2 linked regions of the Macaca mulatta genome follow. The protein of the gene in region 1 binds, or shares a complex with, the protein of each later gene. Links are inferred from orthologs where the notes say so. Each region holds a gene or a part of one and is shown on either strand. Other genes may lie near its edges. The genes, in order: NPR3 and NPPC.

The links.
Region 2: the proteins of NPR3 (region 1) and NPPC are in contact, whole or in part, in a crystal structure (PDB 1JDP), measured with the Homo sapiens proteins. The link is inferred for Macaca mulatta from reciprocal best matches to the Homo sapiens genes NPR3 and NPPC. Residues at the interface, in NP_001191304.1 of Homo sapiens: Asn110, Tyr138, Ala141, Pro142, Arg145, Ala161, Gly163, Phe164, His166, Glu170, Tyr171, Tyr204, Lys208, Leu209, Arg211, Tyr214, Phe215, Leu217, Glu218, His221, Glu222, Gln225, Ile233; in NP_077720.1 of Homo sapiens: Gly109, Cys110, Phe111, Gly112, Leu113, Lys114, Leu115, Asp116, Arg117, Ile118, Gly119, Ser120, Met121, Ser122, Gly123, Leu124, Gly125, Cys126.

What each region holds. Positions count from the first base shown.
Region 1 is NC_133411.1:34,125,219-34,129,025, forward strand, and holds part of NPR3 (atrial natriuretic peptide receptor 3), read left to right. Parts: intron 1-146; coding exon 147-313; intron 314-3,807. UniProt on the Homo sapiens protein: Receptor for the natriuretic peptide hormones, binding with similar affinities atrial natriuretic peptide NPPA/ANP, brain natriuretic peptide NPPB/BNP, and C-type natriuretic peptide NPPC/CNP.
Region 2 is NC_133417.1:137,158,162-137,162,501, reverse strand, and holds the start of NPPC (C-type natriuretic peptide precursor), read left to right. Parts: upstream 1-1,375; 5' UTR 1,376-1,523; coding exon 1,524-1,613; intron 1,614-2,061; coding exon 2,062-2,352; 3' UTR 2,353-2,372; intron 2,373-4,340.

The sequences.
Region 1 (3,807 bases):
ATCATACCTAAGGGCAGAGCTATGACAATACTTCTCTTCCTGGTTGCCAAAAGTAACATGCGGGGGGCACATCGCAGTTGTAAAGGCAGAATGGCCTCTTTTTGGTGGCTGGCTTGGAATTGCAAATATTTTTATTTCTTTCATAGGAGATGGCTCGTGGAAGAGAGGAGACAAACACGACTTCGAAGCTAAGCAAGCATACTCGTCCCTCCAGACAGTCACTCTACTGAGGACAGTGAAACCCGAGTTTGAGAAGTTTTCCATGGAGGTGAAAAGTTCTGTTGAGAAACAAGGTCTCAATATGGAGGATTACGTAAGTGCCTGATTATGAACCTAGGCCTTCAGCATCCTGAAAACAGTCTTCTAATTAAATCAGAGATGACAGAGTGTCCCGTTCTGAGCCATTCAAAAATTCCTAGGTTCAGGTCTGAATTTCACTGTTGCCTTCTGTGTGTGTGTGTGTGTGTGTGTGTGTGTGTGTGTGTTTTCTTTCTGAGTGGTTTTCCTCCTTCCCTCCCAAATATACTCACTATCATCTGTACCCTTCACTTACACTTTTTCAGCTGCTGCAGGAAGGACCATTGCTATTTCGTGGGCACTTGTGGTGGTGCTGAGTAGAATGTCTGTAGACTTCCATCACGTATTTGACTAAGAGGGTTTTGGGGGAGAAGAAGGATGAAGGAGTGCCAAAGGTTTGCATGCCTCATTTTTCCAAAGCTTGGTGGCATTGGGTATTTGGGGTTTTAGGAGACACTTTCTTTTGGCAGCCTGGCTTGGCGTTCTGGCTAGTCTGCTTGTGGATGGTGTTGTCGCCTCTTTCTGCTGGAAGTTGCTTCCTGCTCACATATTGCAGGACTTCACATTCCATTAGTGCTGTTGTTACTAGTGCATTTCAGGAGTGGACAAGAGTCAGAACCTTAGTTCAGACTGAGGATTAAGCAGAGGGACTCATCTAAGAGCTGGCACCGCAGGCAGCTGACCACACCTCATTTGGCATCATTGTTTTGACTGCCTCTGACATGCTTTGCTGCATGGCCAACACGCCACTCCTGTAAATCCTTTCTTAGAGCAGGATGAAAGGTGGGCACCTTGGACTAGTTGAGTAGGTGTGCTGGTCTTCAAAACGAATCACTCTACAGCATCCAAAACTGAAAAGGAGCACCTTCTTCCTCCTCTTCTTTTGTTTTGAGTCAACATTTCGCTCTGTCTCCCAGGCTGGAGTGCAGTGGCGCGATCATGGCTCACTGCAGCCTCAAACTCCTGGGCTAATGCGATCCTCCCTGTTCAGCCTCCTGAGTAGCTGGGACCACAGGTGTACACCATCATGCCAGCTAATTAGGAGCACATTCTTAATGATAGGCATACGGCCTGGATAGTCCCTGCTCAAATTGGATAATGATCAACTTCATAAGAGATGGCCACTTCCAAACAGGGTTTCTCCTAGTTTCTCTACTTGAAGTACCACAGAGTACTGGCATTGGCCTCAGAGCTGCCTTCAGAGTCTAGATCTAGCACTTCTGAGCTGTGTGGCTTGGAAAAATTGCTCCATTTCCCCGATTCAAATTACTTTTTCCTGCTGGAGGATTTAGGATTATTTACCTGAAGCATTTAGCACTATCCCTGTCAGAAAGTTAGAACGAAATAAATGGTACCTCTTTTGTACCACTGTTTCAAGATTATACCTGTCTTTATAGGAATTTGTTATCAAATGGCATACAAAGTGTCTTATAAACATATTTATTAATGTTTTAAATGTTGCATATACTATACTCACATCATTTAAAATATCTTTTGACTTTTTAAATCAGTGCTGTCTGGTAGTTATACAACGTGAGCCAAAAAAGTGAGCCACATATATAATTTTAAATTTTCTAGTTGACACATTTGAAAAAGTGAAAAAAAAAAACAGGTGAAATTAATTTTAATAATATATTCCAATTAACACAATATAAACACAATATTTCAACATTTAATAAATTAAAAAATTTTAATGGGATTTTAGTGTATTTCTTGTACTACGTCTTGGAAATCCAGTGTGATTTTACACTTATAGCGTGCGAAGCCCTTGTTCAAGCTCCACATGACATAGCCACACATGACTAGTGGCTACCATATTGGACAGCGTGTTCTGAATTATGAAAGAAGTAGGGTTTCTGCAACAGAGCCTACGTTTAAGGAAACATATGGTAGTGCTGTCATCATCCAAATCCTTTGTCTCAGAAACAAGAAAGAACACAAAAGGTACTGAACTTCCTTCAGTAGTGCTGCCACATGTAGGCTGGGTCGTTATTGAAAACATCAAACTCTTTTACATATGCCACTGTATATTATTTTACTTTATTAGGTTCATATTAATTTTATGGTTTAAAAACTCAACAATGGTGCCATGTTGTCTGGTTTCCTCTCATTGGGCAAAAGTTGGCATCCCAGCCAGGAGCAGTGGCTGACGTCTGTCCTCCCAGCACATTGGGAGCCTGAGGCCGGCGATTGTTTGAGCTCAGGTGTTGAACACCAGCTTGGGCAACATGGTGAAACCTCATCTCTACAAAAAATACAAAAATCAGCCAGGCATGGTGGCATGCACTTGTAGTCCCAGCTACTTGGGAAGCTGAGGTAGGAGGATCACCTGAACCCAGGGAGGTCGAGGCTGCTGCAGTGAACCGTGATCGCACCACTGTGCTCCAGCCTGAGTGGCAGAGTAAGACCTTGTCTCAGAGAAAAAGTTGGCATCCCACTACTGGGTAATTCTTCTTGGTTATCTGTTATTCTGTGTTCATAATATTACATCTTATTTTAATGGTAGTCTAAGCAAAATCTCACTGGAAACGTATACCTACTACAAAGCTTTATAGAACATTCCAAACCTAATAAGAGCACTGTAGAGATTGTTTGCAGCCCTAGATTACCATACTGCTTCCCTCTGATAGTGGGACTGTTAAAACTGACTTCATAAATAAATAAAAATTAGAATTTTAAGTAGAAGTTGGAGCTAACTATAATAACTTATTTTAGTTCTGAAGATGTGTCCATCTTTTGTATGTATGTAGGTTTTAGTGGGCCTTTTTTTTTTTTTTGAGATGAGGCCTCCCTGTGTTGCTCTAGCCAGTTCGTGGGCTCAAGTGATCCTCCTGCCTTAGACTCTGGAGTAGGTGGGATTACAGGTGCGCACCACCACTCCTGGCTGAGTTGGGCTCTTGTAAACACCAGCTGCAGAGGTTTATCAAGTTAGGTTAGACAGGTGGTCCTGGTGAGTATCATGGGAAGGAACTATGGGAGCCAAAGAGCCAGCACCTGGTGTGGCTGGGTTCCCAGATTCTAGTGCTTGATCTAATGTGGTGGGAGAGCCTGTAGGAGTCTGGGGTCTAGACTCAGTCTTTTTGCTTCTCTTACTTGTGCTAATGAGTTGTCTCATCTGCTTTCTTAGAACTCCAGTTGATGACACCCATCGTGAGCTCTTCATTCTCTGCTATCCATCTCGAATTCAGTGACTTTGGTGGACTCTCATTTGTTCTAAAATTAACCATGCATTTCCAAAGAATCACATAATCTAGGAATAGTGGCAGTTTTGTTTCTTTTAAATTCTTCTACTTTTAAGTATGTTTAATTGAAAGTGTACTTAAGAAGCTGGGCACAGTGGTACATGCCTGTATTCCCAGGTACTTGGGAAGCTGAGGTGGGAGGATCACTTGAGTCCAGGAGTTTGAGCCCAGACTGGGTAACATATCAAGACCTCACCTCTAAAAAGATAAGTAAATAAAGTAACTTTTTAAAAGTATAATTAAGAATGTGTATACTTAATTCAAGTAT
Region 2 (4,340 bases), on another chromosome or scaffold:
CCCTCTTCACTCCAGCCGCCTTCCTGCCTCAGGCACCGCTTCCTCTCCCTGGAAAAGCTCGTCTGGGCTACTGTCTCCGCAGAATCCTCTTCACGCCTGGGGACAGCCACTGCACTCCTGCGGCAACATTTGTTCTCTCTCCAGCCTGCGTCCTGCTCGGCAGCAGCCAGTCATAGATTCGTGCACCTCACTCAATTTGGGGGATCTGGGCTCTCCGCCTCTGCGGCCCACACCGCAGTGCCCAAGTGCCCACCACACTCCTTAGTGCCCAAGGGACCAAGAAGCCCAGTGCAAGGAGAGCAAGTTTGTGAGTGGTAGGGATATGTGGCCGTGTCCCGAGAGCCACGAGGACCTTTCTACAGTCAACAGTGGGAAGTTGACCACCTGTCACGGCTGGCAGAGGCTGGACCGGGCCGCTGGTTAGGAAGCTCCCTCCCCAGCCTGTGAAAGTGCACAGGATACTGGAGCGGGCTTCTCTCAGCAGCGGATCCTCGCGTGGGTGCAGGCAAGGTCAGGTGCGCATTGTTCCCACAGACCGAGTTCACCAGCGGAGTCAGACCCGGGGACGTTCTGTGTAGCCGAAACCGGCTGAACGTGAACCTAGAGCCATAACTGGCGAGCACACGATGCCGCCGAGCACACGCATGAACATGAATATCTTGGTTCCGCGCTCGCAGTCCCCTCGTTCCCGCCTCCCGCTCAAACACTCAGGTTGGCGACATGCTTGCACTCTCCAGTGCGGAAGACTTGCGCTCCCGCCGCGGCCCAGGCGAACCCCGCTCTCCCTGTGCCTCCCACCCCAGTCCTCCAACCCCATCCTCTACCTCCCCAACCTAACGACATCTCTGTGGTCTGCGCTCCCGCCCTGGCGAGCAGGTGAGAGGCGGAGCTGCAATGCCCATCCCGCGGCTGTCAGGTGCCAGGGAAGAGTTTGGCGACCAGCAGGGCTGCGTGGATTTCGGGCAGCGCCAACTTTCTGCCTGTATGACTTTGGGCAAGTAATTTCATTCCTCTGAGCCTGTCTTTGCACCTGCAAAGAGAGCTATAGATCCCTTCTAGGTAGAGTGAGTGTGCTGAGGACCCAGTGGGTGCACAGGGCACAGGGCGCACTGATGCTCATCAGGCCAGGGCGCGCGCTGGCTGCAAATGGAGTTCCCCTGTGCGCGCCGCTCTGCAGCTCCAAGTGCAGCCTGGAGCGAGCCGGCAGAACCGCGGGATCCCTCCGGGGTGGGATAAGGGAGGGGAGCCCCCGCGGCCCCCTCCCGGCCCTCGGCGCGGCCGCGTGCGTGGTGTCATTGGCCCGGGCAGCCCGGTGGGCGGGAGGATGACATCAGCGGCAGGTTGGATTATAAAGGCGCGAGGGGAGTCACGGGCTCAGAGCGCACCCAGCCGGCGCCGCGCAGCACTGGGAGCCTGCTCGCCCTGCAGCCCAGCCAGCTTGCTCCGCACCAGCCTGCTGGTCTGCCCGCCGACCCGCGCGCCCTCGCTGCCGCCCGTCTGCGCCCCTAGACCCCAGCGGCACCATGCATCTCTCCCAGCTGCTGGCCTGCGCCCTGCTGCTCACACTGCTCTCACTCCGGCCCTCCGAAGCCAAGCCCGGAGCGCCGCCGAAGGTGGGTGCTGTCGTGGGGACGCCGAGCCTGAGAGAGTCGTGGGAGGCTGGGGGCTTGGAGAATGCGGCGCGCAGGACCCAGGAGAGAGGGAAGGCAGGCGGCTCTCTCCTCCGAGATGCGCGTGGGCGAGACCCGGGGAGCCCTCGAAGCGCGGACTCGGGGGTCAACTCCCCCAGCCTCCGGAGAACGCCGGCCCATGCGCAGCCCCCTGCCCCAGCGTGGCCTGCCGGGCGAGCAGCAAAGGAGGGGAGGGCAGGGGGCTTCCGGAGGGAGCGGAGAAGGCGGCCGCGTGGCAGGTGGATGCGGGGCCAAGCTGGCCGGCATCGGTGGGGGCGGCTCTGGGCTTAGGAGGGACACCCCGCGCCGGCGGGCGCGTGGGGCTGGAGCATCAAAGTCCCCTGTGCTGCAGCCGCGCGTCCCTTCACCTGCCCGCTCTTTCTTCGGACAGGTCCCGCGAACCCCGCCGGGAGAGGAGCTGGCCGAGCCGCAGGCTGCGGGCGGCGGTCAGAAGAAGGGCGACAAGGCTCCCGGGGGCGGGGGCGCCAACCTCAAGGGCGACCGATCGCGACTGCTCCGGGACCTGCGCGTGGACACCAAGTCGCGGGCAGCGTGGGCCCGCCTTCTGCACGAGCACCCCAACGCGCGCAAATACAAAGGAGCCAACAAGAAGGGCTTGTCCAAGGGCTGCTTCGGCCTCAAGCTGGACCGAATCGGCTCCATGAGCGGCCTGGGATGTTAGTGCGGCGCCCCCTGGCGGCGGTGAGTACCGCCGACCCCGCGCCCAGCCCCAGCCCGGCCCGGCTTTGCTCAAGTTGTGCCAGGCGTTTGCCGGCCACCCCCTTTATTATCCCCTTTACAGACAAAGAAAGCGAAGGATAAAGTGATCGGGGAACTTTGGCATGGTCAGAAATGGCTCAGCCTGGTTGAACCCACCAGGCTTCTTCTAGAGAAGCAGAAACAGGCTTGGTGGCGTCTCACCCACCCCTGCACCTTAGCTGAACTAGCAGCATTGGCCCCAGCTGGCCAGCTGGTGGGGGAATTGAGGGGAGATCATGGGTTTGTGGGAGCAGAGAAGGAAGGTTACACCCACAAGTCCAAGGGACATTGATCATCTGCCGGCCACCATGCCCCCTGTAGCGAGAGTAGCCCTCTGTTGGCACCGTCAGGGCGCCCTTCTGCCTGGAGCACTCCGATTCCTGTCCCTTCTCTAAACCCAGGCAGTGGGCAAACTGGTCTATCCAGGGTCCTGTCCCTTCTCTAAACCCAGGCAGTGGGCAAACTGGTCTGTCCGGGGAGCTGCAGCCCGGTGGCTTCAGGGGTGAATCTCAGTGCTTGTGGCACTATTTCAGGGAATAGGAAAGATACTAAAGTAAATATTTTTTGCCCCACCCTCAAACTCGACATGTCCCAGAGTCCCTCACCAACCCTGTCCCCCGCCCAACCGGTGCTCTGGGCTCCGTTTCTGGTGTGGGATCTCACCCCGCACTAGGGCTGGAAACCTCTGCCCTACCGTCACCCCCTGCCGGGTGCCGCATGGTGGTAATTTACTGCTGCAGAGAGCCTCACCTCTCCTCTTTCCCTCCTCTCTATTCCTGCCGCCTGCCTGTGCCCACTGAATAACAGCATCCCAGCCTCTGACATTGACAGTCATGTGCATTAGGATCAGGCTCACTCGGCTTTCTCCCTTTCTTGCCTCCAGCTCAGCAGCTGCCACTGCCTGTCCCACACTTTGACTGTCCCATCCCAGGCCATGGGAAAGCTGCTGTCTCCACCCCAGAAACCCTTGTCAGTGTTGGGTCTTCCCCCGGAGGGAAACAAGAGCGCCTCTCCAGCACACTGTCTCTTTTTCACAGTACAGAACACTTTTTCACAGTTTGTGAACCCATTCACCTCCCCGTATTGAACAGCTTAAGGGCCAAGTGCTGGCCTAAGGCACTCTAGGACCCACTGCACCCCGTACAGACTCAGAAATATTTGTCAATGACCAGAGAAACCAGCACACCCTAGCCCATGGCCACTCCCACCTGCCCTAGGTTTTAACCAGTGCCCTTCCTCTCTTTGCAGCCAGACCTCCCTCGGCTGTGGGCTGCTCCCCAGTTCTGCAAAGGCTGCAGTTGTCTGTGATCTTGACTCTCCCCTGCACAGGGAGAAAAATGATTCTGACACTTGGGGACCAGCCTTCAGTAGCTACCCTTGGAATGCCTTTCCTCTCTTCTCTCCTGTCTAAACAACAAAGAGACGGAGTCTGAGGCCTCAAATTTTCAGTTTGATTTAAGCATCAAGTTCAAACTTTAGAACCGGAACAAATGTTAGCGACTCTTCCATGGGTTCGTACCTGGAATGCGCATTCCCATAGGGGCCTTGTTCTTGGGCCTGGCTGTCTGTGGTCACCAAGTGATGACCAGACGGGTAGTGAAAGATGCTGTGTAGGAGGAATCCACATTGCTAAGAATTCTCAACCCCTTTGATCAGGGGGGTTCATTAATCTCCTACTAGCTCTCTTAGCATAGATGAACACTTATCATCAACATCCTCAACACCGGCTTATGCCCAACACCAGCTGTTTTATTATTATTTGGGAAGGGGGGTGTGGATTTATTATTTGGGTTTTTTAAATGAAAAATAAAAACCCTACCCTCACTGCCCCCCACTCCCAGTGAGAGAGCAGGCTCCTGGTGGTGATGCCCAGGATATATCACTGGGGTTAAAGGGAAAGACAGCTTGTAT